Linked DNA regions of Canis lupus familiaris. The protein of the gene in region 1 interacts with the protein of each later gene in a pairwise test. Links are inferred from orthologs where the notes say so. Each region holds a gene or a part of one and is shown in the gene's direction. Other genes may lie near its edges.

What was found.
Region 2: the proteins of EFHC2 (region 1) and EDC3 interact in binary tests that used the Homo sapiens proteins (3 or more experiments, as listed by UniProt). The link is inferred for Canis lupus familiaris from reciprocal best matches to the Homo sapiens genes EFHC2 and EDC3.
Region 3: the proteins of EFHC2 (region 1) and CLIC3 interact in binary tests that used the Homo sapiens proteins (3 or more experiments, as listed by UniProt). The two-hybrid records come from large-scale screens. The link is inferred for Canis lupus familiaris from reciprocal best matches to the Homo sapiens genes EFHC2 and CLIC3.
Region 4: the proteins of EFHC2 (region 1) and voltage-dependent L-type calcium channel subunit beta-4 interact in binary tests that used the Homo sapiens proteins (3 or more experiments, as listed by UniProt). The two-hybrid records come from large-scale screens. The link is inferred for Canis lupus familiaris from reciprocal best matches to the Homo sapiens genes EFHC2 and CACNB4.
Region 5: the proteins of EFHC2 (region 1) and CCDC120 interact in binary tests that used the Homo sapiens proteins (3 or more experiments, as listed by UniProt). The link is inferred for Canis lupus familiaris from reciprocal best matches to the Homo sapiens genes EFHC2 and CCDC120.
Region 6: the proteins of EFHC2 (region 1) and LONRF1 interact in binary tests that used the Homo sapiens proteins (3 or more experiments, as listed by UniProt). The two-hybrid records come from large-scale screens. The link is inferred for Canis lupus familiaris from reciprocal best matches to the Homo sapiens genes EFHC2 and LONRF1.
Region 7: the proteins of EFHC2 (region 1) and MAPK9 interact in binary tests that used the Homo sapiens proteins (3 or more experiments, as listed by UniProt). The two-hybrid records come from large-scale screens. The link is inferred for Canis lupus familiaris from reciprocal best matches to the Homo sapiens genes EFHC2 and MAPK9.

What each region holds. Positions count from the first base shown.
Region 1 is NC_049260.1:38,446,048-38,449,547, reverse strand, and holds part of EFHC2 (EF-hand domain-containing family member C2), read left to right. Parts: intron 1-2,756; coding exon 2,757-3,008; intron 3,009-3,500. UniProt on the Homo sapiens protein: Microtubule inner protein (MIP) part of the dynein-decorated doublet microtubules (DMTs) in cilia axoneme, which is required for motile cilia beating.
Region 2 is NC_049251.1:38,207,579-38,211,825, reverse strand, and holds the start of EDC3 (enhancer of mRNA-decapping protein 3), read left to right. Parts: upstream 1-1,447; 5' UTR 1,448-1,590; exon of another isoform or gene 1,591-1,596; intron 1,597-1,915; exon of another isoform or gene 1,916-2,045; intron 2,046-2,688; 5' UTR 2,689-2,760; intron 2,761-4,247. UniProt on the Homo sapiens protein: Binds single-stranded RNA. Involved in the process of mRNA degradation and in the positive regulation of mRNA decapping. May play a role in spermiogenesis and oogenesis.
Region 3 is NC_049230.1:48,633,792-48,637,960, forward strand, and holds CLIC3 (chloride intracellular channel protein 3), read left to right. Parts: upstream 1-1,378; 5' UTR 1,379-1,803; coding exon 1,804-1,839; intron 1,840-2,565; coding exon 2,566-2,675; intron 2,676-2,757; coding exon 2,758-2,883; intron 2,884-3,004; coding exon 3,005-3,111; intron 3,112-3,193; coding exon 3,194-3,369; intron 3,370-3,442; coding exon 3,443-3,652; 3' UTR 3,653-3,669; downstream 3,670-4,169. UniProt on the Homo sapiens protein: In the soluble state, catalyzes glutaredoxin-like thiol disulfide exchange reactions with reduced glutathione as electron donor.
Region 4 is NC_049240.1:54,751,282-54,754,781, reverse strand, and holds part of voltage-dependent L-type calcium channel subunit beta-4, read left to right. Parts: intron 1-80; coding exon 81-341; 3' UTR 342-3,500. UniProt on the Homo sapiens protein: The beta subunit of voltage-dependent calcium channels contributes to the function of the calcium channel by increasing peak calcium current, shifting the voltage dependencies of activation and inactivation, modulating G protein inhibition and controlling the alpha-1 subunit membrane targeting.
Region 5 is NC_049260.1:42,416,817-42,419,951, forward strand, and holds part of CCDC120 (coiled-coil domain-containing protein 120), read left to right. Parts: intron 1-287; coding exon 288-428; intron 429-822; coding exon 823-1,117; intron 1,118-1,473; coding exon 1,474-1,536; intron 1,537-1,777; coding exon 1,778-1,952; intron 1,953-2,099; coding exon 2,100-2,198; intron 2,199-3,135. UniProt on the Homo sapiens protein: Centriolar protein required for centriole subdistal appendage assembly and microtubule anchoring in interphase cells. Together with CCDC68, cooperate with subdistal appendage components ODF2, NIN and CEP170 for hierarchical subdistal appendage assembly.
Region 6 is NC_049237.1:37,045,957-37,049,456, reverse strand, and holds part of LONRF1 (LON peptidase N-terminal domain and RING finger protein 1), read left to right. Parts: intron 1-2,027; coding exon 2,028-2,186; intron 2,187-2,292; coding exon 2,293-2,455; intron 2,456-2,621; exon of another isoform or gene 2,622-2,698; intron 2,699-3,500.
Region 7 is NC_049232.1:1,729,426-1,732,925, forward strand, and holds part of MAPK9 (mitogen-activated protein kinase 9), read left to right. Parts: intron 1-388; coding exon 389-554; intron 555-1,454; coding exon 1,455-1,526; intron 1,527-1,868; coding exon of another isoform or gene 1,869-1,940; intron 1,941-3,500. UniProt on the Homo sapiens protein: Serine/threonine-protein kinase involved in various processes such as cell proliferation, differentiation, migration, transformation and programmed cell death.

The sequences.
Region 1 (3,500 bases):
TTTTCACATTTTCACCTAAAGTCTAGTTAGCTAATATACAGTGGAATATTGGTTGCAGGAGTAGAATTTAGTGACTCATCACTTACACATAACACCCAGCACTCATCACAAGTGCCGTCCTTAATGCCCAGCACCCATTTAGCTCATCCCCCACCCACCACCCCTCCAGGAATCCTCAGTGTGTCCTCTATCATTAAGAGTCTCTTATGGTGGGTAGCCCGGGTGGCCCAGTGGTTTAGCGCCACCTTCGGCCCAGGGCCTGATCCTGGAGACCTGGGATCGAGTCCCCCATCGGGCTCCCTGCATGGAGCCTGCTTTTCCCTGTGCCTGTGTCGCTCATGAATAAATAAATAAAATCTTAGAAAAAAAAAGAGTCTCTTAAGGTTTGCTTCCCTCTTTCCCTTTTTCCTCTTTCTCAGACCTATGTTCATCTCTTATTTGTCTTTCTCTGACTGACCTATTTTGCTCAGCATAGTACCCTCTAGCTTAATCCATATTGTTGCAAATGGCAAGATTTGATTATTTTTCATGACTGAGTAGTATCCCATTTACTTCTTTATCCATTTATCAGTCAGTGGAAATTTGGGGACCTGGACCCTCTTTTTTTCCATATATATATATTTTATGATTTTATTTATTTATTCATGAGAGACACAGAGAGAGAGAGAGGCAGGCAGAGACAGGCAGATGGAGAAGCAGGCTCCATGCAGGGAGCTCGATGTGGGACTCGATCCCGGGACTCCAGGATCAGGCCCTGGACTGAAGGCAGCACTACACTGCTGAGCCACCTGGGCTGCCCCATATATATATATTTTTAATTGAAGTTCGATTTGCCAACATATAACACCCAGATTCTGTTTTGATATCTTTTTTTAAAGCTAAGTGTAGGGTCATTCATCTGTTCCACCTCCTGACCCCAGTAGAGTTATTCTTTAATGTTGTAAGCATGCAGCCCTCCTGAAAAATATATATTGTTGATCCTGGAATATTTAAGGTGAAGTCCCTGTGGAATTATACCTGTGTATATTGGCATATGAACAGATTTATAGTTTGGGTTTATTTTTATTTTTTCCAAATGCCCTAGATGAAAGAGCCTAGATAAACATAGAGTCTTTACAATGAGAAGAGAGAACCTAAAAGAATGGATCCATATGAATTACCACCTCTTGCATATGGCTGCACTCATTCACTCACAGTTGGTATTATATGATAGCGATTACGGATGATGATGCATTTTATTAAATACAGAGAGCACTGTGCCATTTCATAGGTTTATGAAGAAAAAAAATCTTTTGTGCCAGGAATAGAGAATAAATACCAGGAACAGCCAAGAAATGTTTTAACTAATTTCCTTTCAGGTTGGGAAAATAATTTTTGCATTTAATCCCTCGGGGAGAAAGCTCTTCAATAAATATAGCAATCTGTGGAAAATTAGGAGTTTAATAAGAGGCTTTTATATTGACTTTAATGCATTTACTTCTCCAATGTTTGCTACCTTCAACTATAAAGTTAAAATTAAACAATTTAACTTAAACTGAAAAGAGTCCCAATGGTATATAATCAATAATGCATTCCTTAAAGGCCTTAGAATGCCAAAGAAATATTTTTCAGTTGATGAAAGTAGAGGTGCCATAATTTCATTTAAATATCCAGGATGTAGAAGAAGGGTAAGAGCCCCTGGAAGGCCACGATGTCTCCCCCAATCTTGCAGTTAGTCTGTACCCAGACTGCCCTGGACAGATAGAGGATTCTGAGAATTGACAGATACGATTACATAAGCTGACAGGGGACTCCTTCCTTGCCAATGAGCACTTATATAATGATCCCGTTTGGCTACATCAGATAGAATGAGGGCAGTTTTGCTCCCAAGACAGGGCCGAGAACATGCAAATAGAGTCACACCAAGAAGATCATAGAAGTAGTGGTACCTAGGCTGGGCGACAGAACCCATGCAGCGGTTCTGGGTGGCTTGGGAAATTCTCCATTTGCTCTGCTCCTGTCCTTCCTGATCCTTGATCTATAAAGCTTTGGAGTAAAATAAAACTGTGATTGTGTTTCTTCCCTTTTACTTTTACAAAAATCTTTGGATGAATAAGAAGGATATACAGATAGGAATTCTCAGCAAAAAGATGAGCAGGTTTTTTTGGGGGGGAGGGGGTTGAGATATAATTAACATAGACTCAGATGGATAAGTCTTAAGCATTAGATCAACAAGTTTTGGAAAATGTATGCAATTTAGTAAGTGACAAATCAAGATATGGAATATTTCCATCACCCCAGAAAGTTCCCTTCTCCCCCTTTCCGGTCAATCCCAGAGGCAATTACCATTCTAATTTCTGTCACCACACATGAGTTTTGTGTGTTCCTAAGAATTTTAAGTCTTGGAGAAAAACCAGTTTTCAAAGGCGTCATAGAAGTGTATTTTAGTGTATTAAAACACTGCTTAATATATTTTTTATATAAATTTATTTTTTATTGGTGTTCAATTTGCCAACATATAGAATAACACCCAGTGCTCATCCCATCAATGTCCCCCTCAACACTGCTTAATATTAAAAGCTTCCTACTACTTGACTGTAATTTTAAGGTGACAGCTGGCTGTAGATGTATATATATCTATGTCATTAGTCAGTTGACCTTTAAAAAAATATCACAGAATAGTTAGTGGGAAAGGTATCTTTACGTTCTTTGATTGCTTGCATCCCAGAAGTGATCATGCACAACTGCTGTTCTTGACTTTTTTTTTCCCTTTTCAGACTCTAGATTGCATGAAGCCTTTACGCCCCTATGAGTCCTTTGACACCCTGAAGCAGTTCCTTGAGTATGATAGGAAGGTTTTACGTTTCTTCTGCCTATGGGACGACTCAGCTACCCTGTTTGGGGACCGAAGGGAGCTCATTCTGCATTACTTTCTGTCTGATGATACCATTGAAGTCAAAGAAGTGATGCCACATAACTCAGGCCGGGATGCTATGTCATTATTCCTCCAGAGGAGAAAGCTACCCAAGGTGAGCAGCAGACCCAGAACCCCTTCCCGAGTTTACCTGTGGGCTGAGAGACTCTCGCCACTCACTGTCCAGAATGTTATGGGTTATGACTATGTCATGACTATGTGTCACTTATCATATATGAGTACAGGTGTTTAAGAAACCTTCATTTTGTGCTATTAATACACATCTATGAAAGTACCATAGAGGATATGACAAATCAGGGTTGGAATATTCTGGGTTTAATCAAGGCAAGTAAAGGAAAAAAGTGAAATGCAAGAGAAAGTGCATATTCATCGAGTTCATAATCAGTCTTCTGAAAGTAAAAGATTCTCTAGTTAATTGTTTGTGGGGCACCTGGGTGGTGCAGTCAGTTGAGTGACTCTTGGTTTCAGCTCAGGTCATGATCTTGGGGTCCTGAGATCAAACCCCATGTCAGGATCTGTGCTCAGCGCAGTCTGCTTGAGATCCCACTGCCCCTGCCTCCATAAATACATAAATAAATCTTAAAAA
Region 2 (4,247 bases), on another chromosome or scaffold:
AAAGTCTTCCAGTTTGAACTCTGGGCAAAGTCTGTTGAGGTGGTCTTAGGGACAGTTCTTTCATTCAACAGACACACATTTTAGCATCTACTCTTGGCAGGCACTGTGCAAGATGGTGGGATTACGGTTAGGTATAACCTTCAGTTGACTTCTGGGCTACAGCAGTGCTTGCGGTGGAGAAGACAGATGTGGGTGTGTCCAGATTGGGTGGAGGCTGGTGGCATCAGAGGTAAAAGAATTCACCTGAGGCAGAACAAAGGTGATAGAAGTTTATTGAATTTCCAGTTAGCTGGTCAGGAAAGCAAAGGAGAGACTGTCAGGAGGCAGTGTTGGGCTGTAGTTTAGGAGGTGGTGAGGAGGGATGGGAACATGGAATTTTCGTGTTTGGGTACCTGTGCCCGGTTGCAGGTAGCCCATTCCTCAGCTTAGGTCTATGGCTATTTTCAGGTGGGTCGCCTAATGAGTCTGTTTGCATTCAGTCCCCTGGTCACTGTGGGCACCTCTGCCCGACTCAGGTTTCCAAGTGCTTATTATGCCTGTTGCCTAAAAGTGGCCTCTACAACTAATTCTCCTGGGAATCTTAAAAAAAAAAAAAAGTTATTTGGCCTGGAGTATAGAATCCTAACCAAAAAAAAAAAAAAAAAAAAAAGACACAAGAGAATTAATCACCCCTTTAGGAATGCCAATCAGGTTCAGGTGCACATTTCACAGCAGTTTTTTTTTTTTTTTTTAAGCTATCTCAGGTTCATCTCAAGCCGCACAGCTGTTCTGGAAAAAAACAAAACAAAACAAAAAAACAGAAGGTAGAGTTAGGATTCAACCCTGAGCTTCACACCCTAAGGGCTCCCGGATCTGGAGGGTGTAAAGGATCGACTGTAAAGACCTTTAAGATAATACAGGCATGGGATCCCTGGGTGGCGCAGCGGTTTGGCGCCTGCCTTTGGCCCAGGGCACGATCCTGGAGACCCGGGATCGAATCCCACATCGGGCTCCCGGTGCATGGAGCCTGCTTCTCCCTCTGCCTGTGTCTCTGCCTCTCTCTCTCTGATGATGACTATCATGAATAAATAAATAAAATCTTTAAAAAAAAAAAAAAAAAAGATAATACAGGCCGGTGATCCTGGAGACCCGGGATCGAGTCCCGCATTGGGCTCCCTGCATGGAGCCTGCTCCTCCCCCTGCCTGTGTCTCTGCCTCTCTCTGTGTCCCATGAATGAATGAATGAATGGATGAATGAATGAATGAATAATAAATCTTAAAAAAAAAAAAATACAGGCCGGGGTCCCTCCAGACTTAAAACTGGATCTCTCGCGATAAGGGAAGGGTGGGGAGTCCCCGCAGAGGGAGCTTTTACAGAACTCCTCCCCTTACTTCGCAGAGCCACGTTCGTAACCGCCCTGCTGCCCGCGCAGGGATTCCCAAGCCGGGTCTCGGGCTTTCCCGCGATGACCTCGCAAGCCCTCCAGGTCTCCAATTCCCCAGGACGCCGCTCGCAGAGGCCCCGGGGAACGGCGTCCCCCCGCGCACCGGGAGCGGGGGCGTCCGGCCAACGCTGAGCCCCAACGCGCCGGAGCCCACGCGCGCGGACGGGTAACCGCGAAGGGAACCTTTAATCCTTTAATCCGTCGCGGGGCCGACTCCTTGCGTCCGCAGCCGCGGCTGCCGGAGTCGACGAGGCCGACGTCGCCGGGCGCCACCTCCTCCCCGAAGTCCTCCAGGCGACAGTCCTCGGCGACAGGCCTCGGGGGCCTGGGGGGAGGGCGGGAACCGGCGCAGAGCCCCGTGCCCGCGGGCGGGAGGGCGCGCCCAGGATCTTGATCCCGCTCGAGCCTTCCCGGGAGCTCCGCCCCGCGCCGCCGGCCCTCGGGGTTCCAAGGCGTCGCGCCGGAAGTGACCTCACGACGGCGGCGTGGAGACGCGGGGCGCTTCCGGCCGCGGCTGCGGGGGTGGGTGTGGAGGAGCCCGTCGAGCCTCCCGGTGTCGGCGGGTGCGTGGCGGGCCCCGCTGGGCGCGGCGTGCGGAGGCAGCGCTCGGCCGGCGTGGAGGTGGGCGCGAGGGGGCGGCGGGGCGGCGGGCGCTGGCGGGAGGGGGCTTCCGGGGCTGCCGGGCGGCTTTGCTTTTGGCTTCGCGGTTCCAGGCCTCGTAGAGGTGCCTGGAGGCGCGCGCGCGGGCTGGGGGCCGGGTGCGGGGCGCTGCCTCGGGGGGGGGGTGTGGTTGGGGGGGCAGGTCGAGGGCCGCAGGAGCGTGAGCGCGGGGGCCCTCGGCTTCGCCCGGGCACGGCCGCGGCAGCTCGCCCACTCTTTGCTCCTTGCCCGGTGTCGCCCTGCACAATGGAGCGCGGTGGCTCGGAGCTGCGCGCGCCGGTGCCACGTCCCTGAGCCGAAGCCCCTGCGGGCGGAGGTGTGTTGGGGGGGTCTCAGGCGCAAGGGCGGCTGAGGACGTGACACCGGCCAGGTTCGCGGCTTCGTGATTCTTTCCAGGTGCAGGCGCTCTTTGTGTGATAACCGAGTGAATTTTTATCAGTAGTAACCGGCTCGTCGAATGGCTTGTGCAAGGCGGGGCACAGCGCTTGGCCAGTCGGTTTTCAATGAATCTCTCCCAATTCCAGACCCGGGAGGGGTCCCCGCAGCCCTCTCCCGCGGTTACGGATGAGGAATCAGTGGTTTTTGTTCTCTCCCCTCTCCACAGACTAAACCGATCGCGGGTCTGCTGCCCTATACAGGTCTTAACTTCCATCAGAACAGAATTGTCTCTGAGCAGGTTAGTATTGCACCTGGAAACCTCAGGTGGATTCTAGTTTTTTTTTTTTTTTTTTTAATTATTTTTTAAAAGATTTTATTTATTCATGAAAGACACATACACAGAGGGGCAGAGACACAGGCAGAGGGAGAAGCAGGCTCCCTGCAAGGAGACTGACGTGGGACTCGATCCCAGGACCCCGGGGTCAGCCCTGAGCCAAAGGCAGACGTTCAACCGCTGAGCGGTTCAACCCAGGCTTGATTGATTGATTGATTGGTGAATGGCAGATTAGATGTACTCAATTCAAAATTCCTGTTTGTTTCTCTGTAGGGAAGGAAGATGGTTACAAGTAATGAACTTTGTGACTACTAAGAATTTTTTTTTTTTTTTTTTTTTTTTTGATAGGCCTGTGGGACTAGCAAAGTGTGTTTCAAACTTTTTTTGACCCAGGACCAACAGCTGGATACATTATTACATTATGACTTAATGTGCTCCCAGCATGCACAGGGTACACACACACACCCCTCCCAAAGGTTTACCCTTTCTGCATAGGATGCTGGTTTACATTTTCTATTTCATTAAAACAGAAAAAGTTGATTGTAACTCACCAAATTGACTGCTAATGTGTCTGACCGCTAAAGAACTGTAGTGTAAAAAACAAAGGACTGGAAAATGTTTAAAGTGTTTGTGGGGGGAGGATCCCTGGGTGGCTCAGCGGTTTAGTGCCTGCCTTTGGCCCAGGCAGGGCCTGATCTTGGGGTCCCGGAATCGAGTTCTGCCTTGGGCTCTCTGCATGGAGCCGTTCTGCCTTGGGCTCTCTGCATGGAGCCTGCTTCTCCCTCTGCTTGTGTCTGCCTCTCTCTCTCTCTGTGTCTATCATGAATAAATAAGTAAAATCTAAAAAAAAAAAAAAAAGTATTTGTGATTCCTGAGGTGCTGTAATTAATGCAAAGTAGAAAATGTGTCATTTTTCTGTTCTTAATAGCCAGAGTAGCAGGGTTGCTAGAGTTATAAATTCTGCCAGAAGAGGACATTCAAATGATATCTCAAAGGAATAGAATGAGAGTGTGTCGAATTTTAGTAAGGCATCAGTTAAAGTCTTTTATGATGACCTGGTGGGTGAGTTAGGGGATTTTGCCAGATTGTGGTGAAATTGGATGGAATCATGGTTTTGAGCACCTATGTCTGGAGGGGTTTGATTTATGGGTACAACTTGCAGTTGGGATTCTGCCGAGTTGAGTCTGTATCCCTTTTCTTTATATACAGTATTTACAGCCTATCTGGAAGGTGTGCTTACCAGATTTGTTGCCTTTATGAAGTGGAGAGAGAATCTGGTTAATCTCAAGATTTGCCTAGTGCAGTTTAATGAAATGTAAGGGTCATATACATGTCAGAAATTTCAGTTGAGTTAAAAAAAAAAATACGGGGATCCCTGGGTGGCGCAGCGGTTTGGCGCCTGCCTTTGGCCCAGGGCGCGATCCTGGAGACCTGGGATTGAATCCCACGTC
Region 3 (4,169 bases), on another chromosome or scaffold:
ATGTGGAGGCCAGAAGTCCAAGATCGAGGCTGGGGAGGGCTGGTCGCCACTGTGGTGGTGGCCCGGGCTTGGAGCAGCACCACCTGTCCTTGGCCTCCATCCACACATGGCATCCATGTGTGTCTGCATCCAAACTGCCCGCTTCCGGGGCAGCCCAGGTGGCTCAGGGGTTGAGTGTCTGCCTTTGGCTCAGGGCCGTGACCCCGGGGTCCCTGGGATCAAGTCCCACATCAGGTTCCCTGCAGGGAGCCTGCTTCTCCCTCTGCCTGTGTCTCTGCCTCTCTCTCTCTCTGGGTCTCTCATGAATAAATAAATAAAATCTTAAACAAACTGCCCGCTTCCAAGGACACAGTCATAGTGGGGCAGGGCCTGCCCTGATAACCCCATATCAGTAGGATGGCTTGTCAGGGCTCTGTCTGAGGCCCAGGCGGCGAGGACTTCACACGTGGATGGCAGGGGCACAACTCAGCCACATCACCCAACCCGAGACTAGAGACTCACCACCTGTGTCCTGTCCCAGGAAGTCACCGGGTCCCTCCTGCAGATGGGGCCATGCTGCCCAGGGGACAGCACGCATTCGTTGATGTGTCCCCGGGCTGAGGGGGGCTTCTCACCCCCTCATTGAGTACAGAGCCACATCTTTACCCGCTGCAGCCCCGAACCAGGTCCTGTCCTAGTTTGTCTCTTGAAATAAGTGTGAAGTGAGACATGCTCCCATTCACTCTGTCAGTGTCGGTGTATTTCCTTTTCTCTGAGCTACCTGGTTGCTGGTCCATCTCCTGATCATACCTACAGATGCACGGGGCTATTTTTACACACACAGAAATACCCAGAGGACGGCTGGCAGGCATGCACAAGGTGTGGAGGGGGCCCTGGGCCTTCCCTGGGGCTGGGGTGTATGCGCCCGGAGCAGCAGGTGAGTGGGCCAAGCCCCCACCCCATTGTGGAGGAGCAGCAGAGGCACTGGTGCCTAAGGGGGAGCCGGAGGGAGGAGGCAAAGGTACAGGCAGGTCCCCAGCTGTGTGGAGGGGCAGCGTAGGCTTTGGCAGGCCCCTCCCTCGGGGCACCCTCACCCAGGACTGTGAGCCACCAGACAGGCGGGACAGGTTAGGGGGTACCCACAACGTCCTCTAGAGGTTCCTTCCAGCCAACCGTGAGCAGGCTGACGCATGGGCTGGAGGTTGTAGCTCCTAAACCTTCTCATGGTGCTTCTGGGGAAGGTTAAGGTGGAGGAAGCCTGCCTGGGACCCCCTGGGAGGGTAGGGACGGCAGGGGGTGTGGCTGGCCAAGGAGGGGCACCTGGGCAGGCCAGCAGCACTCCTGGAATGTGGGCTGGTCCAGGGGCGGGGCTGACCCAGCTCAGTGATGGGAGGGGCCTCCCTGCCCAGGAGGTAGACAGATGGGGAAACCAAGGCCAGGGCTAGGGTGTTTGCTTCTCCTACTCACTCCTCAGCTTTTTGGGCTGGGGACCCCAGTGGACAGTGGGGTGTTCACTGCAGGGAGGGCCGTGGGCTCATGGCAGGACTGATCCTGATCCAGGGCAGCCCTGTGCCCAGGCTGGCTCCTTTCTCTCCCCACCTCTGAACCCCCAAAGCCCCCTGGGGCCGCAGCACCGGCAGCCCCCCAGTCACACCCCTGCACTTGGACACAGGCCCCAGAGCCCCAACGGCTGGCCTGCCTGCAAGGGGGGATGACTCGGTGGGGCGGGCCCTGGGCTGGGGAGGGCGGAGCACCCCAGCTTTAAAGGGCTCCCCAGGCTCCCACCCCTGCCTCACTGCCTCCCACCGCGCTGCGCTCCTCACCATGGCAGAGACTGCCAAGCTCCAGCTGTTTGTCAAGGTACCACCGGGTGGGTGGGCAGGCGGGCAGGCGGCCCGGGGAGGAGCATGCTCAGTGGGGCTCGGCTTTCTGGGGCAGGCAGTGGGCCCCAGAGGCTGCGTGTGCACTGGATGCAGGTTGCCTGTGGAGGCTGAGGAAAGGGGCCAGGACTGGGCGAGGGCCTGGGGAGCCGCCCCGAAGGCCATGCGAGGGGAAGCCGGGGGCGAAGCCCCTCAGTGGGGAGGTGCTGATCAGCAGCTGGCAGCCGAGGCTCGTGTGAGGGTGGAGGTCAGCGCTGCAGGAGGGGGGCTGGGCCGGGTGACCCCCGTTGCTTGCATCACTGCCCGGGGCTGTGGATCCCTGTGCACCGGCTGCCAGCCCTGGCCTTCCCCCATCGTTGGGGTGTGGGGCAGTGAGTGTGCTGCCAGCCAGTGTCCAGTTGGCAGCATGAATCACTCAGAAAACAGTACTCGGCCCACCCTGCCCTCGTGACCAGCCTGGAGGGCCTGGAGACCGGGAGGCTGGCCTCTGCCCAGGTGCTGGAGATAAGGGTCCCCAGGGGCCATGTCCCTGGGCCCCCCCACCAGGGACCCAGTCAAGGGCTCTCACCCATCACTTGTTGAGGGCGTGGCCGACCAAGCTCCAGGCACAGAGCGGGGGTAGGCAGGGTCCTCTCTGGCAAAATTCTTAGGTCTGCTCTCTGCCCTGGCACCCTCTGCCCCGGCCCCCTCCACCCTACCCGCCCAGGCCAGCGAGGACGGTGAGAGCGTGGGACACTGCCCTTCTTGCCAGCGGCTCTTCATGCTCCTGTTGCTCAAGGGTGTGCCCTTCACCCTCACCACGGTGGACACTCGCAGGTGAGCCCCCTGCCCCCAGGGGACCATGGCTGGGCCTCTGGCCCTCCTGAGCAGCAGCTTCCCCACCTGCCTATGCCCACAGGTCCCTGGATGTGCTCAAGGACTTTGCACCCGGCTCGCAGTTGCCTATCCTTCTCTACGATGGCGACGCCAAAACGGACACATTGCAGATCGAAGAGTTTCTGGAGGAGACACTGGGGCCACCTGAGTGCGTGGCGGCAGGGGCGAATATGGGTTCCCTGTAGGAGCCCTAGAGAAATGCTGAGGGTGCGGCGGGGAAGGGGGCGCGACACCAGGGTCTGACCGGAGCTTCCCTGGCTCCCCTGCAGATTCCCCAGCCTGGCACCTCGGTACAGGGAGTCCACCACGGCAGGCAACGACGTCTTTCACAGGTTCTCCGCGTTCATCAAGAACCCAGTGCCCGCTCAGGACAATGGTGAGGAGGGTCTCGAGCCGTGGGGTGGGAGGGGGACATTGGCCTGGCCCGGCCCTCACAGTGCCCCACCCCACCCCCGCAGCTCTGTACCAGCTGCTGCTGCGCGCCCTCACCAGACTGGACGGCTACCTGCGCAGGCCCCTTGAACACGAGCTGGCACAGGAGCCACAGCTTCAGGAGTCACGCCGCCGCTTCCTGGACGGCGACCAGCTCACGCTGGCCGACTGCAGCCTGCTGCCCAAGCTGTACATCATGGATGTGAGTGCCACACGCGGGACAGGGGTGGGGGGTGCTTCCTGCAAGGCCCTGACCTCGCGCCCCTTGCCGGCAGACGGTATGTACACACTTCCGCCAAGTGCCCATACCCGCTGAGCTGTGCGGCGTCCGCCGCTACCTGGAGAGCGCGCTGCAGGTGAAGGAGTTCAAGTACACGTGCCCATGCAGTGCTGAGATCCTGGCGGCCTACCGGATGGCCGTACACCCCCGCTATCCCCTCCCCACTGCTGACCGCCACCCTGTCTGCTTTTCTACAGCCCCATAAAGGCATGTCTGCCCCAACGAGTGTGTCCTAACCTTCGAGGGCCCAGAGGGCCCTGGATTTGTCACCCCCAAACCGCTGCCAGGCAATGCACAGCTCCACGTGACAGCCCAGAATGACAGGGGCAGAGAACCCAGTGGGTGGTTCCACCTACCTCCCCTACTCACCCTGTCAGGGGTGGTAGGGACTGGATCGGGCTCCCAAACCAGTCAGGCCGGGGTGGGGCAGCAGGATGGCCAAGGAGGGTGGGGAGCAGAGCCCAGCCTGGGCACCTAGGGGCTCCTGGCCAGGGGGTGGGGCCAGCCCACATTCCTCAGCCCTGCCCAGGGAGCAAGCCACCCTCCAAAGCCTATAGGATCTAGTGTGTATGCAGTGTGGGATGTCCGTGGCTGTGCCTGGTCGGGTGGGGTCTGGGAGAGTGAAGTGTGTGCCTGGAGCTGTTGGCAATAGAGTTCCAGCCTCAAGGAGCCCTGCCCCGCCTTCCAGTCCCCCGGCTGCTGTGCTCACCAGGCAGGGGCAG
Region 4 (3,500 bases), on another chromosome or scaffold:
CTACTGTTGCACATACATTTGCATATTCTAGGTGAATTAAGTTGACACGATCTAATCAATGGACGATCTGATATTTTTAGAGTCAGCGTATGAGGCACAGCAACCACTCCACGGAGAACTCTCCAATTGAAAGACGAAGTCTAATGACCTCTGATGAAAACTATCACAATGAGAGGGCTCGGAAGAGTAGGAACCGCTTGTCTTCCAGTTCCCAGCATAGCCGAGATCATTACCCTCTCGTGGAAGAAGATTACCCTGACTCATACCAGGACACTTACAAACCCCATAGGAACCGAGGATCGCCTGGGGGATATAGCCATGACTCCCGACATAGGCTTTGAGTCTGCAGAAGCAAACAAAAAATTCATCTGTTGACAATTTGCCATAGCACTGCTAGGATAAACCAATCATCTTAACTTGGCAAGTACAGCACGGTATTTACTGTGCTTGTGGGCTGTTGTCATTTGATGCTAAGCAAGGGGCAAAAAACAACAACAAAAAAGTACGTTATGCCCTTAAGTCTAGATGGTTATTAGATGCCCAGTCATATAGATATTTTTAAGCTCAGCATTTACATAACAGTACCTTTTGTTTTCTTCATTAGATTTAGACACATCGATTTGTAATTTAGGGTACTTATCAAGGCACATATAAAATAATTTCCCATGCTGGAAATTCCAAATGACCAGTTCCAGTTGGAACCAATTTATAAACCAATTCCTGTTGGAATTTGGGTGAATCGACTAGAAAGTCTACTTGAGCATGTTGCAGTCAATTTAAAAATCTGAAAAAAAAAAAAAAAAAAAACCAAAAAAAAAAAAAAAAAACAAGACCCACAAAAACAACCAAAAACCTAATTAATAAAAAAATCAAAATACCGAAAGAAGCCAAAACCAGATATGGTATTTATTTGCTGGAAGCTAAATTTACACTTAAAGTTGAAATGTATAAACATTTTAACATATGTTAATGTAGACATAATGGCTTTTCAAACTCACCAAATGTATTGATAGTGCCAAAAAAAAAAAAAAACCCACCTCAAATTAATTCAGAAATTATACACTATCCTCAGATTTTAATATTTTTGTTTCTCTACTGGCACAACTGTTGTATTCAAAGTGTTTTGCTTTTTGTTTAGTCACTACTGTTAGCTTGTTTGAAGTTGGCAAAAAAAAAACCTCAAACTTTCTTTAGCAGTGAGAGAGAACACTATAGAGAAGCCCAATCATAGGTGGTCACGGGAAGTGGAAAAGGGGTGTTTCCCCTTTCCTGGCTCTGAGCACAACCACATACATCCAGGAACCTGAAGTCAGTGAGGATGGGCACAGATCCTCCTGAGCACGAAGCTAAACATCTCCAGATGGGAATTCATCTCTCCAGCTTCCCACAAACATGGGCCGGTATTTCCTGCCAGCACAATTGCATATCTTTCCATTGCTCCATTCAGTCTCTGTCTTCGAATATGTGAATGTTCTAGCCCTTCCCCAAATTCTTTATAGTCATGCTAACGACCTGTTTTACATGGAATCATTCAATTTTGATATCGAAAGCTGTGTTTATACAAAATGATCAAATGAAAAAAAAATGTGAAAACAAATGATGAATTTAAAAGCTTGCAATAAAAAGTAAACTCATAAATTCAGAGTATATTTGAATCGTAATTAAAATTGCAGCATTTTTATTGTCTAGAATTATAAAGAATTTGGAGATTGAGCTGCCTTATTTCTAATGAACAGTCCTGTTCACCTGTTAAGTCTTGACAGTTTTTCCAGTGGCTATAATTATGAAATTGGTGACCTTCGTCTTCTATTATCAAGGAAGCCTTAGATTCACTATGATCCAAGGGATTACTGAAATTGACCCTTTTATACAATACGCAAATATCTTTCAGAAAAGACTCTTGTTTCTAAAAGTCCACAACGCATGCGTTTTTCTAAAGCCCCAGTAGGACCAGGCGTAAAAATACCTTTCTACTGGCACGTGTCAGGAGGCCTATATTTTGAAGACAATAATAGTTGATTTCTATTACCCTATTTTCCTCCCAAGCCTCTCAATCTCTAGGCTTTCAGAGCATGCACCAGTTAAATGATTTTCCTGACCCATGAAACCAAGTTCCACATTCTCGATTGTGATACACACCTTGAACCGCGTCATGACGTCCCACATTCCCTCCCCTCCTGTTCACCATGCATAGTCCATCGTGACCCTCTTCAGCTGTAACTGTCTAAGTTATCTCACGTATTTGACACAATCGGAAATACGGGCTCAGTCAGTTGTAAAGGTTAACATGTGATATTGGCCTGTGAGGTTCTTTTGTCATCTAGTGAAGCTTACAGAACTTTCAGTTAAGACATTTGAAACAGCTGCATCCATTAGACACTTCAATAAACATATAACCTGCCATTACTGAATACTTGGTTAGAGCACAGAAGAGCATTTTCCAGCAAACGAAATATATTTATTACATGTACAGCACATATTTGCATGAGAAAGAAAACATTAGCCAAAACATTTTTCTATATGCTTTACTGGTTTCTTGTTTGTGCGCATTAAAGTATTTAATTGCAAAGAGTGCACCAAGGTGATAAATTTAGACTAGACAGCTGTTCAGCTTTTTCTGTAGTAGCATTAGCAATCTGGTCATTTAACTACTTTAAGATACTTACATTTTATGGCAGGTAGCTGCAACAGCATTTACATATATTTCCTAGTCAGCAAGATTACCATATTCTTTCCATTTTTAAAGACCACTTGTTTTTAAAATCCTCTCAAAGCCTTGTTTCTAAGTCTTCCATGTCATGCTGATAAAGAGAGAGGTCCATTCAATATCTGTGCACAAAACCAATCTGTCGTTTGCCATCAAGTGTCCGTACCTGTTCTGCTTTGCATTCTTATTCAAAAGCTAACAATCGTGGAAAGGGTAAAATATATATTTTCTTGATGGATATATTTAAAATTTTACGTTGACTTGGCATATTCTTTTCCATTCCTTTTGTAAAAAGTTTATCTTCTCCAAGTAAATAAGAGATATACATTTTCCTTTTTTTAGTGTTAGAGTTTACTGTGTAAATGATGCTAAAATACAGATATATACGAAATGAAAGTTTTATTTTTGCCAAGCATATCAAGCAACTTTGAAAAATACATATTCCACAGACACTTTGTTTTTAACTGATTTCTTTTCAAAATAGCAAATGATAAGCAGAAGAAACAAGTCTTACAATGTGTTGAGGCTGTTTTACCTTGTAGAAGTCACATATTCCGTAACTTCAGTGTATGTAATATCAGAATATGTAAGCTACATATTCTATGATTTCAGTCTGCGAACATGTAACACTGTAGACTCATGTGACAATGTGAAAATGTAGTTCTGGGGGAAAAAACAATGAATGCAGTTTGTCAGTCCTGATGCTAATTCTCAAGGCTATAATGTGACTCCAGTATTATAATCAATGATGTTATCTTGTTTACTCCAATATTTAAAGCAACACTTGGAAATG
Region 5 (3,135 bases), about 4.0 Mb from region 1:
TTACAGAATGTGTGGTGTATAGACTGGGTCGCCTTTACAAAGAATAAAGAATTCTGGATTCCAAAGCGGGTCTCCCTACCTCCCATGCCCACTGCCCCAGGGATTTGGGCCATCGAGGGCTGAGAGTCCACAGCATACCTGTTGGGTGGAGAATGGAGAGGAAGGAGGAGTAACAGGCATGGGCAGCTGAACATTGCTGAGCTCCTAGTAGGACTTCTGGAGTCATTACCGCTTTGCCCCATTCCCCCAACTAACCCTTGGTAGTCTCTGTCCCCTGCCCCCACCAGGAGCTGACTGGCCAGCTGCCCCCTGAGTGTCCACTAGAGCCTGGTGAACGGCCCCAGTTGGTCCGCCGGCGGCCCCCTGCAGCCCGAGGCTACCCTCCTTCGCACCCCAACCCTGCACACCACTCCTTATGCCCTGCTGAGGTGAACGGAGGGGCCTAGGGAGCATGATGGGGGTGGGCCAGGTACAGAGGAGGAGCCCAGAGGAAGTTGGGCAGCCTTGGAGTTGTGGCCAGGGGGGCGGAGAGGCTAAGGTGAGAAGAGAATGGCTTGAGGGATGTGGGTTCCAGCTCTGAAGGAAGATGCTGGGCCCCTGCATCATCGTCATTGTGATAAGCCTCTCACCTGGGGAAGATGAGTATGTTTAGTCCCTAACCAGGACAGGCACCACCTGCAGAAGAAATGAGCTCCGCCCCAGAATAGGCCCCTCTTCCAGCCCAGACAGCCTCTGCCCCCCCCCACCCCTCACCCCCCATGCCCCATGCTTGGCCATTTGGAACATTCGGTCCGATCCTGCCCTCTTGGGTGGGCCCCGCAGGAGCTGGCTCTTGAGGCCCTGGAGCGTGAAGTGTCAGTACAGCAGCAAATTGCGGCTGCGGCTCGCCGCCTAGCCTTGGCCCCCGAGCTGAGCCTTGAGCAGCGCCGGCGCCGGCGCCAGGTCCAGGCAGATGCGCTGCGGAGGCTGCACGAGCTGGAAGAACAGCTTGGGGACCTCCGGGCCCGGCTGGGCCTCCCGGTACTCCCACCGCCACAGCCTCTACCCCTGTCTACCGGGCCAGTCATCACTGCCCAAGGAATTTGCCTGGGCACACGCCTTGCTCAGCTCAGCCAAGGTGAGCCAGCCCTGTGTTCACACAGGTCAAAGCGGGAGAGTGGGCATGGGTGGAAGGACGTGATAGGGGTGGGGTAGGCAGCCAGCCAGTGAAAGGTGGGGAGCTGGGTGGGACTTGAGGGACCTGACCCGGGAGAGGAGTTGTGATAGACTGGCCCTGCAGTAAGGGTATGGCCACTGGGAACTTGGCCAGATGGCACCAGGAAAACCAGGAGCCAAGCCTCAGGTAGTCTTGGATTCAGGTAAAGATGGGTTCTTGGGAAGGAACAGGGCGGAGAGGAGACCATCCAGGGGTGCGAGGGAATGGCACCCAGGCCTTGCATTGATAGGCCCGGGTCTCCCCCTTCTCACTTACAGAAGACGTAGTTCTGCACTCAGAGAGCAGCTCCCTCTCAGAGTCTGGGGCCAGCCATGACAATGGTGAGGACCCCTGTGCCCCAAGCCCACCCATCCTTTGATGCTCAGCCCCTCCACTCCCTCTTTAACCCCTTCTTAGCCATACCCCATCCTCACACGGGGCCCCCCATCTTTCTTGCATCACCCTGACCCGCTCATCATCCCCATTTCCAGCCTCCTGCCTTAGTTCCTGCCCCACCCTCTGCCTGCAGCCCCCCAGGGTCTCTCTCATTGACTTCTCCCCTACTTGCTGCCTTCCTCCCAGAGGAGCCCCGTGGCTGCTTCCCTCTGGCCGAGCGCCCCTCGCCACCCAAGGCCTGGGACCAACTTCGGGCAGTGTCTGGGGGCAGCCCCGAGCGGCGAACCCCATGGAAACCACCGCCGTCAGATCTTTATGGGGATCTGAAGAACCGGCGGAACTCTGTGGCCAGCCCCACCAGGTGAGGGTGAGCCCCTTCCCTCCCCAGGGAGCTGGGAGTGGGCTCCTGAGCCTGAGCTGGGGCAGGAGGTGGGTATGGTCTGGGCTGCTCTGGTGGGTATGGTCTCTAACCCAGGCCCTCACCTGGGCCTGCCCGTCTTTTGTCTAGCCCCACGCGCTCGCTGCCTAGGAGTGCCTCCAGTTTTGAGGGACGAAGTGTGCCTGCCACCCCTGTCCTCACCCGGGGCACTGGCCCTCAGCTCTGCAAGTAAGGGGACTCTTGAGGGTGGGTTTGATGACCAGAGGAAGGAAGGGGTAGTTCTGATGAGAAGAGCATTAGCAAAGGGTGTGGGATGTGAGAGGCTGGGCTTTGAAAGGTATATTTTGAACAAGTCATCTCCCTTCTCTGAATCTTTGCTTCTCATCTATGAGATGGGTGTAGTATCCGCCTCTGAAGGACACTGTGCACATAATAAGTTCTGTTTACCTGTACTGAGTGCCTAACATCTGCTGGGAGTTGGTACTCTCCATGTGTCAACTCACGTAATTGTCCTTAGATCCCTGTGAGGTAGATGCTGTTGTTACTCCCATTTTATAAATTAGGAGCCAGAGGCACAGAGAGGTTAAGTGACTTGATACTAAACTGAAGACCTGGTGTTTGAACCCAGGCCACTTTGATTCTAGAGTCCATGCTTCTAATCACTGTATCCTTCTACTTGAAGAAATACTTGATAAGTGCCTGCTTTTCCCAGGCTGTGAACATAACAAAGCCCCTGTCTGTAGGGCACCTACATTCTGGGAATGGTGGCTGGCAGGATGATAGTTTGGGGTGGTTTATACACATGGTAGGGACAGAGAGTTCGGGAAGTTGAATTCCAGGCCCCAGGATTGGGACCCCATCGTGGAGGAGGCCGGGAGCAGGAAGGGCTGAGGATCCCATGTATTGGGGAAAGCCCTCTGCTGGCCCTCCCCTGTCCTTACTTCCTCTCCAGCCCTGCACGTGCTTCCATCTCCCTTGGCACTGATATACATCAGCATCCCATACATCTTCCGTCCCTCTGCCCCCCAGCATGGGACAGAACCTCCACCGCCTTTTACATGCCCCCGCTTAGCACCTGCATACATGCGGTTTTTAATCGGGTCTCCTTCGGAGATGCACCAGTGAAAGCTCAGGAAGAGGTGGGATCCGGCAGGCACTTGGCCTG
Region 6 (3,500 bases), on another chromosome or scaffold:
GGAGGAGGGATTTCCTGCAGTGACATCAGGCAGTGGAACTGGGAAGGGAAGCCTCAGGTACCTGGCAGGGCAGGAGGAGGGTTGAGGAGAAATGGCCCAGATTGGCAGGTGCATCAGCCAATTAGAGCTTGGGAAGCAGGTGGGCCCTTGAGGCCTGAGCCTGAAATCGGAAGGAGTGACTTAGGGGCCAAATTCTCAATTAGTGAAGATTATTGAATGGTAGATTTAGTGCCAGGAGGTAACTTGGGCAATAGTGGTACAGACCACTCTGAAGGGTGAGCACCCAGTGGCTAGGTGGGGATGGGTAGGTTGGACTTGCTTTTGCTGCTCTGTATTCTTTCTTCCTTGTCTTTTTCTTCCCTTCTTTAACCTTCGTGTCTTTCCCTCTTGCTCCAGCTACACGAATCTCTTTAAATTTCTTACGTAGGTATTTCATTTCTTAACTTTTCTTTTGCCCACTTTCTTTTAACTGGACACACTAAAGGACAGAATTGCAAATCTTACATGCTGGTTTTTGTTGTTTTTTTTTTTTTTTTTGTCTCCATTATTTTTTCTTACTAAGAAAAAATTGTGCTTGCAAGCTTAATACATGTCCACCAACTGTCTTTCACGGGGCCAGTGGCCTTCAGTAGAATGCTTTCCAATCTTCTCTTGACTGAAGCCGATACTGATTTGTCTTCAATGGAACTCACTGTGATCTTATGATAGAAAATATTCTGATAGGAAGATTATGAACCTTTTTGATCAACACTACAAAAAGCCTGGATATAAGAAAGCAGTAGATTTACTTCTGAAATCTGAAAAATAGAGACTCTGCAGAAGGGTGGAATCTGCAAATAATAGATGGAGTAGTAATGTGAGGGGGGCTGAGCGTGATGCCCAGTTGCTTGAGAGAGTCTTGCTGCTTACTAACAGGCTTTTTTTTTTTTTTTTTTTTTAAGGATAGCTCATCCCCTGGTACTTAAAAAGTTTTGCTAATAGATATACTGTTTGGTTTTCTATCAGTTCTTATGTTGACATGTAGAGTGCTCAGTGATAGTAGAATACACATTTTTAAAAGAGGAACTAGCATTTGTGTTATTAAATACTACTTTTACATATGTCTTTTTGAAGAAAAACTAGAAAATATTATAAATGAGCAGGGTGAGGGGCCATAATCTATAACCCAGAAGGAATCAATGTGGGCATTTTGGCACATCTCCTTCCAGATTTTAATATCTATAAATACACTTTAAACAAAAATGGGATCATTTTATTCATATTGGTCTATAATCTCATTTTTTCCCAAGTCAACAAGTGTATATCTTTTCATGAAAATACGGTATTTCATTTTATGGTTATGTCAGTGTTACAGTAAACATCCTTGGAGGATTATTTCTAGGAGTTCAAAAGATACGAACTTTTTAAAGTTTTTGACGCACGTAGTCGAATTTTTCTTCAGCATGGTTCTGTTTCAAATTGCCCTCTGCATTGCCAGATTTTCCCCCATACCCTTGCCAGAACCGGGCGTTGCCTTTATCCTTATTTCCTGGCAATCTGGCAGTGAGAAATATTCTCTAATTAGCAGAAGAAAAAGTTACCAAGTTATCTGTTTTTGATAGTGCATTTGAAAATACTTTAATGCCCTACAAAGAAGCTTAACAATTTGCTCTTGACTGTGGGAGTTCATTTTTTCTTATCTATAAGTAAGAGTATTTTATGGATAAAAGGTTAACTGTTATGTTACAAATATTTTAAACAGGTTCTTAATACATAATACTAACACTACTTCTTATCTGTAAAGATAATTTAGCTCTGTATGATAACCTGGTATCTTAAATTCAGATTTACTTTTATAAAAGGATCACAGACTTAGTATTAGCATTGCATCTGTGTGAGCTTAATGAAGGAGATGTTGATTCTAAATCTTAGCTCTAAATAAGATGACTTTTATTTTTGCCGACTTTTTATATTAATTTATCAGTGTTGCAGACTTCATTTTTGTTTTATGTTCTGATGTGTGATAATGAAACTTTTTTCTTTTTCAGCTTGACCAAGAATGTTCCAATATTTGTTTGCACTATGGCCTACCCCACTGTGCCTTGCCCTCTTCATGTATTTGAGCCAAGATACAGATTGATGATTCGAAGAAGTATACAAACTGGAACTAAACAGTTTGGGATGTGTGTCAGCGATACACAAAATAGGTATGCTTTTTTGGTACATGAATATTTTTATGTTAGAACTTGCTTTGAATTTTGAGAACTTGCATGCTTGTTGCTTGAACTTTATTAATCAGAATTTTTCTTTTAGTTTTGCAGATTATGGTTGTATGTTACAAATTAGGAATGTACATTTCTTACCTGATGGAAGGTCTGTGGTTGATACAGTTGGAGGAAAGCGGTTTAGGGTTTTAAAAAGAGGAATGAAAGATGGATATTGCACTGCAGACATTGAATATCTGGAAGATGTTAAGGTATTAAAAAATGCTTTTTTTAGCCCACCTTGGTATACTCTACCCTAGGCACTGTACAGGCATACAGGCTGATCTTTTTCCAGGCACATAAAACGGTTCTTCTATCAGAAGATAGACAATACAAATTAGCTCCAAGTTACCTTTTTCTTATCTTGCTCTTACTTACTGAGAGTTCCAGGAGAACTTGGGTATCCAGAACGTAGATCATCTTCATTTCTACAAGCTCCACAACCAGCATGGTGCCTGGAATGTAGGTGGACACTGTGAGCACTTAACAACAGCAGTTAATTGAACTTTCAATCCATCTGAGTTATGAGAGCTGCTAATCTCTGCCCTTTTTAATTAAAGTTGATCATCAAAACTAATATCATCAGATTTAAGTGTGATATAAAGGAAAACACATAAAATCCTTTAAAAACTGTTATATATGTGTCTGACATAACCTTAATGATAAAAGAGACACAGTTGGGGGATGTGTTCAAAATCCAGGGCATCACAGAGAAAATACCATCACCATACTTGTTGGTGACCGCTTACCTAGGGAGGCTTATTGTGATAATCTTCGTGGACAGGGTTATGTGGCCTTTTTGATGTTTCCAGTATCTAATCACCATCTGTGATTAGTTTGAGTACCAGAAAAAGGATTTGTGATGCTATCAATATCAAATTAAAGGCAGTTTCCTTTGGAAGGGCATTATAAAACCATTGATCTTATGCTTTTGCTGTTCACTGACTTATTTGGGCCTTTCCTTTTATTTGCTTACTGAATATTGGCATTAGGCATTTCTGTAAACATTAGCTCATTGAATTTTCAAAACTCAGCAGATGAGGGAAGGTAAAAAAACAAAAAAGTGTTAATTTGCCTAAGATCCTTTAGGTAGAGTAATGAAAATGACTTAAAGCTAGCTCTCTGGCTCCCAAGTGCTGTGCTTTATCATTATGCCATAATTGCCTCTCTGGTAAACTCGATTAGTCTGATATTGCCTATCCTATTATTAAGATGCCATGGGGACACTTTTCTTTGTGCAATGGGCCAAACAGATTG
Region 7 (3,500 bases), on another chromosome or scaffold:
TAAGATGGTTACAAGCAAATGTATGTAAATTATGTGTGTGGCTTGCATTAGATTTCTGTGGGACAGCTGGGAACTGAAGAATGAACAGGTGGGAGGAGGGATAAGTGGGTTCTGTGGCAGCTCCGAGGAAATTTTAAGGAAAGGGATGTCATGAAGTTTCTCACACAGGGATGAGGGCAGCCATCTGACTTCTGCAGGCTGATTTGTATTCATTTTAATTTGAGAGAGTAGGGTTTTCCCAAATCACAGGGTTCATTGCTAACCCTCCTCAGTGTCCCAGGACTCAGGTACCTCCATAGACCCCGGCCTCACAAATCCCCACCAACACAAGCTTGTCTCTTTAGCATGCTCTGGTTTGTTGCACTCATTTAAACCATTTCTGCCCTAGGATTTGAAACCTAGCAACATCGTAGTAAAATCAGACTGCACGCTTAAGATCCTTGACTTTGGCCTGGCCCGGACGGCATGCACCAACTTCATGATGACACCGTACGTGGTGACGCGCTATTACCGGGCACCTGAAGTCATCCTGGGCATGGGCTACAAAGAGAATGGTGAGTGTGGGCAGCACCGGCAGAGGCTGTGGCGCTCCTGTGCGGCTGCAGCTCACCACTAGCCAGGTCCCCTGAGCCAGAGGAAACACCACGTGGGGGCTGTGTTATACGCAGGTTGTCATGGCCCACAGACTCGAAGTCATTCATCTCCCGTCTCCACTGGCAGAAGTCACCCATATCTACAAATATACTTTCAAAACGAATATTTTCTCAAAGTATAATGTATTTAGTATAGAGAAGTATGTGGACCCATACCGCCAGCAGTACCCGGAACCTCCCCAGACCTTCTCCAGGTCTCAAACCCCAAAGGGAGCCATTATCCTAGTTCGTGGGGCCAAAACTTGGTTTTATTTATTTTTGAACTTGGTACAAATGGAATAATACATGTTCTCTTTTGTTTAAGACTGGCTCTTTAACATTAAAACTTACCCTACCGATACCAGAGCCCTTTGTAACTGAGCTCTTGACAAATTTGTCAAAAAGAGCTCAATCACAGTTATTTGCTGAGTCTGAAAGTTTGCACAGGTCATCTGGACTGAGCCATGCTTTAAGATATACGTGCTTTGTAACCAGTGCTCCCAGCCTGACAGACACGGTTCTGTGGCTACGTGTTGGCCCTGTTGGCTCCTCCCACCAGCGCCAAGGAGAGGTACTAAATAGCCCTCTGTCCAGCCATCTGAGGCCTGGGGTTCTGATGGGCCCCAAGGAAGCCTAGATGAGCAAGCCCACCCCTGTGAAGACCTGCCAACATGGCAGTTTAGCAGAGGATTACTTAGGAAGCATTGTGTCCGTATTTCACAAAAGCTCCCATTGACAAGCTGGGTTTGTCTTTGTTGGGAGGGGGTTTGAGAAAGATGCATGGGGGTCTCTGGCTGGTTTTAATCACCTGGTGTTTGGTAGTGGACATCTGGTCTGTCGGGTGCATCATGGCAGAAATGGTCCTCCATAAAGTCCTGTTTCCAGGAAGAGACTGTATCCTTCACAGGGAGAGCCCCCGCAATGGCCACCGGGGTGGGCATGGGGGGAGGGCATGTGGCCTACAGATAGCTTTGTGGGGACAGGCACCTCTTTTTTCTGGGGTTTTGTTTGTCTTTTCAGCCATAAAGTACTGGAATCTTTGACACTAAAGCCCAGATTGCTGCAAGCTGAAGGCCAAAGTAGCAGCCAGCAATCATTCACACTGTGTAAAAAGCTCACCTTTAGCTAGAAATTTTTTTCCATTTTTGTGTGTTTAGTACACTGTTAGAATTCCTTTTCCTCACCTTTGTTTTGTTCATGGCACTTCATAATTTTGTCATTTCATTTTATTTTCAGTTGATATCTGGTCAGTGGGTTGCATCATGGGAGAGCTGGTGAAAGGTTGTGTGATATTCCAAGGCACTGATCGTATCCTTCCCGGGACGCTCCCGGCCATGCTTTCCATAAATGCGAAAGGCAGCAGGAGCTCAAATGGAAAATGTTGTAATTCTAGACTGTGTCCTAAGGGGTTCTTTATTATGTTTGTTAAATTAGTGTCACAAACCAAATGGTTCAGGTTTCTGTTTTCTTTTTCACTTGACTACCTGTAATGACTTTATTAAGGCTTAGAATTAAGTTAAACTGATGATATTCTTAATTTTATTAAAAATAGCTTAGAAATTGATTTACTCTTTGACAAATGTATTCTGATATTTGAATGAAAATACTGCTTATTTAGTTCACTGAGTTAATTTAACAAGGGAAGTTGCTGTCTAAATTTAATAGACCAGTATTGTGTCATTTACTTACTATACCATTTTGTTAGTTATCAGTATGGATTGAAATATCTTCCCCCAAAGTAAGAACTGAAGCGTGCTACATAAGACTGAGGTAAAAGAGACCAAAAGGAAAAGTTTGTGAGGAACAGTATATTAATTTTCTCGCCTGTTGACATTTTATAGAAGTTTTTTAAAGATCCATCTAGAAGGTTCTTTTGTGACACACTTGGGGAAGTCTAAACAAACATGATGCAGAAGATTAACTTATACTGTGGTCAGCAAATCACATCAATGACATAGAGCATAAAGCAAAAGAGACAATAGAACAGTTATAAGAGCTTTCTTTCCTCGTGGTCCTCATATTCTTCCATCTTTAACATTTTTTACTCTGACATATTCCCTTTTTCATTTGTGTTCTAACCACTTACGATTTTCATTAGTCTTTGATTTTGTTTTTTTGTTATCAAAGCCTAAAGTAGTCTCTGTCTGTTGGCAGATTGATGGTTATTTTTAAAGGAACTCAAGCTGTGTAGTCAGTGTTTAAATGTATTTTATTGAAATTATTTTAGTTTTTTATAATTTTATGAGGGTGATTTTCTTGTAGTATAAATTCTTTACAACACAAACATGGAATGAAAAGATTTTGTTCCTATCATTTTATTTGCCTTCCTTGATGTTTTTCATATCACAGATTTTATGTGAAGTTGAATACAGCATTTTATTTGTTCTAATAAATTTCCTAGCAGTTTTCCATAATCTTTGCTTTGATTCGCTTGTTCTAAACTGTAAATAAGGAGGTCTTTCTTTGGAAACAGACTCAGCTTAAAAGGAAGAAGTTGATATATTCTAAAGAGAAATAATTTAGAAATATCTACCTAATGTTCAGTCTCAATTCATAGTCATTTTGTGTCTTTCTTTTTTTTTTGAATTAATTAAGAAATGTTTTCTTCAGAAAGTACAAAAACTGGATACTTTTTGGTGGATTTTTAAGCAATTTAAAATCCTTCCTTACATATTAGCATCTTGCAGTATTGGTAATTGATAGTTTTATATATAAGGCCATCTAATGTCATTCTCAAAATACACACAGAGATTAACATCATTTTGCAAAGGCAATTTTGCCCACTCTTTCAAACAGTAGATTAAAAACTGCTAGGATGGAAAAAGATTCTGGCACCAAGATTGCAGTTCTCTGAGATTTGCTTCAGAT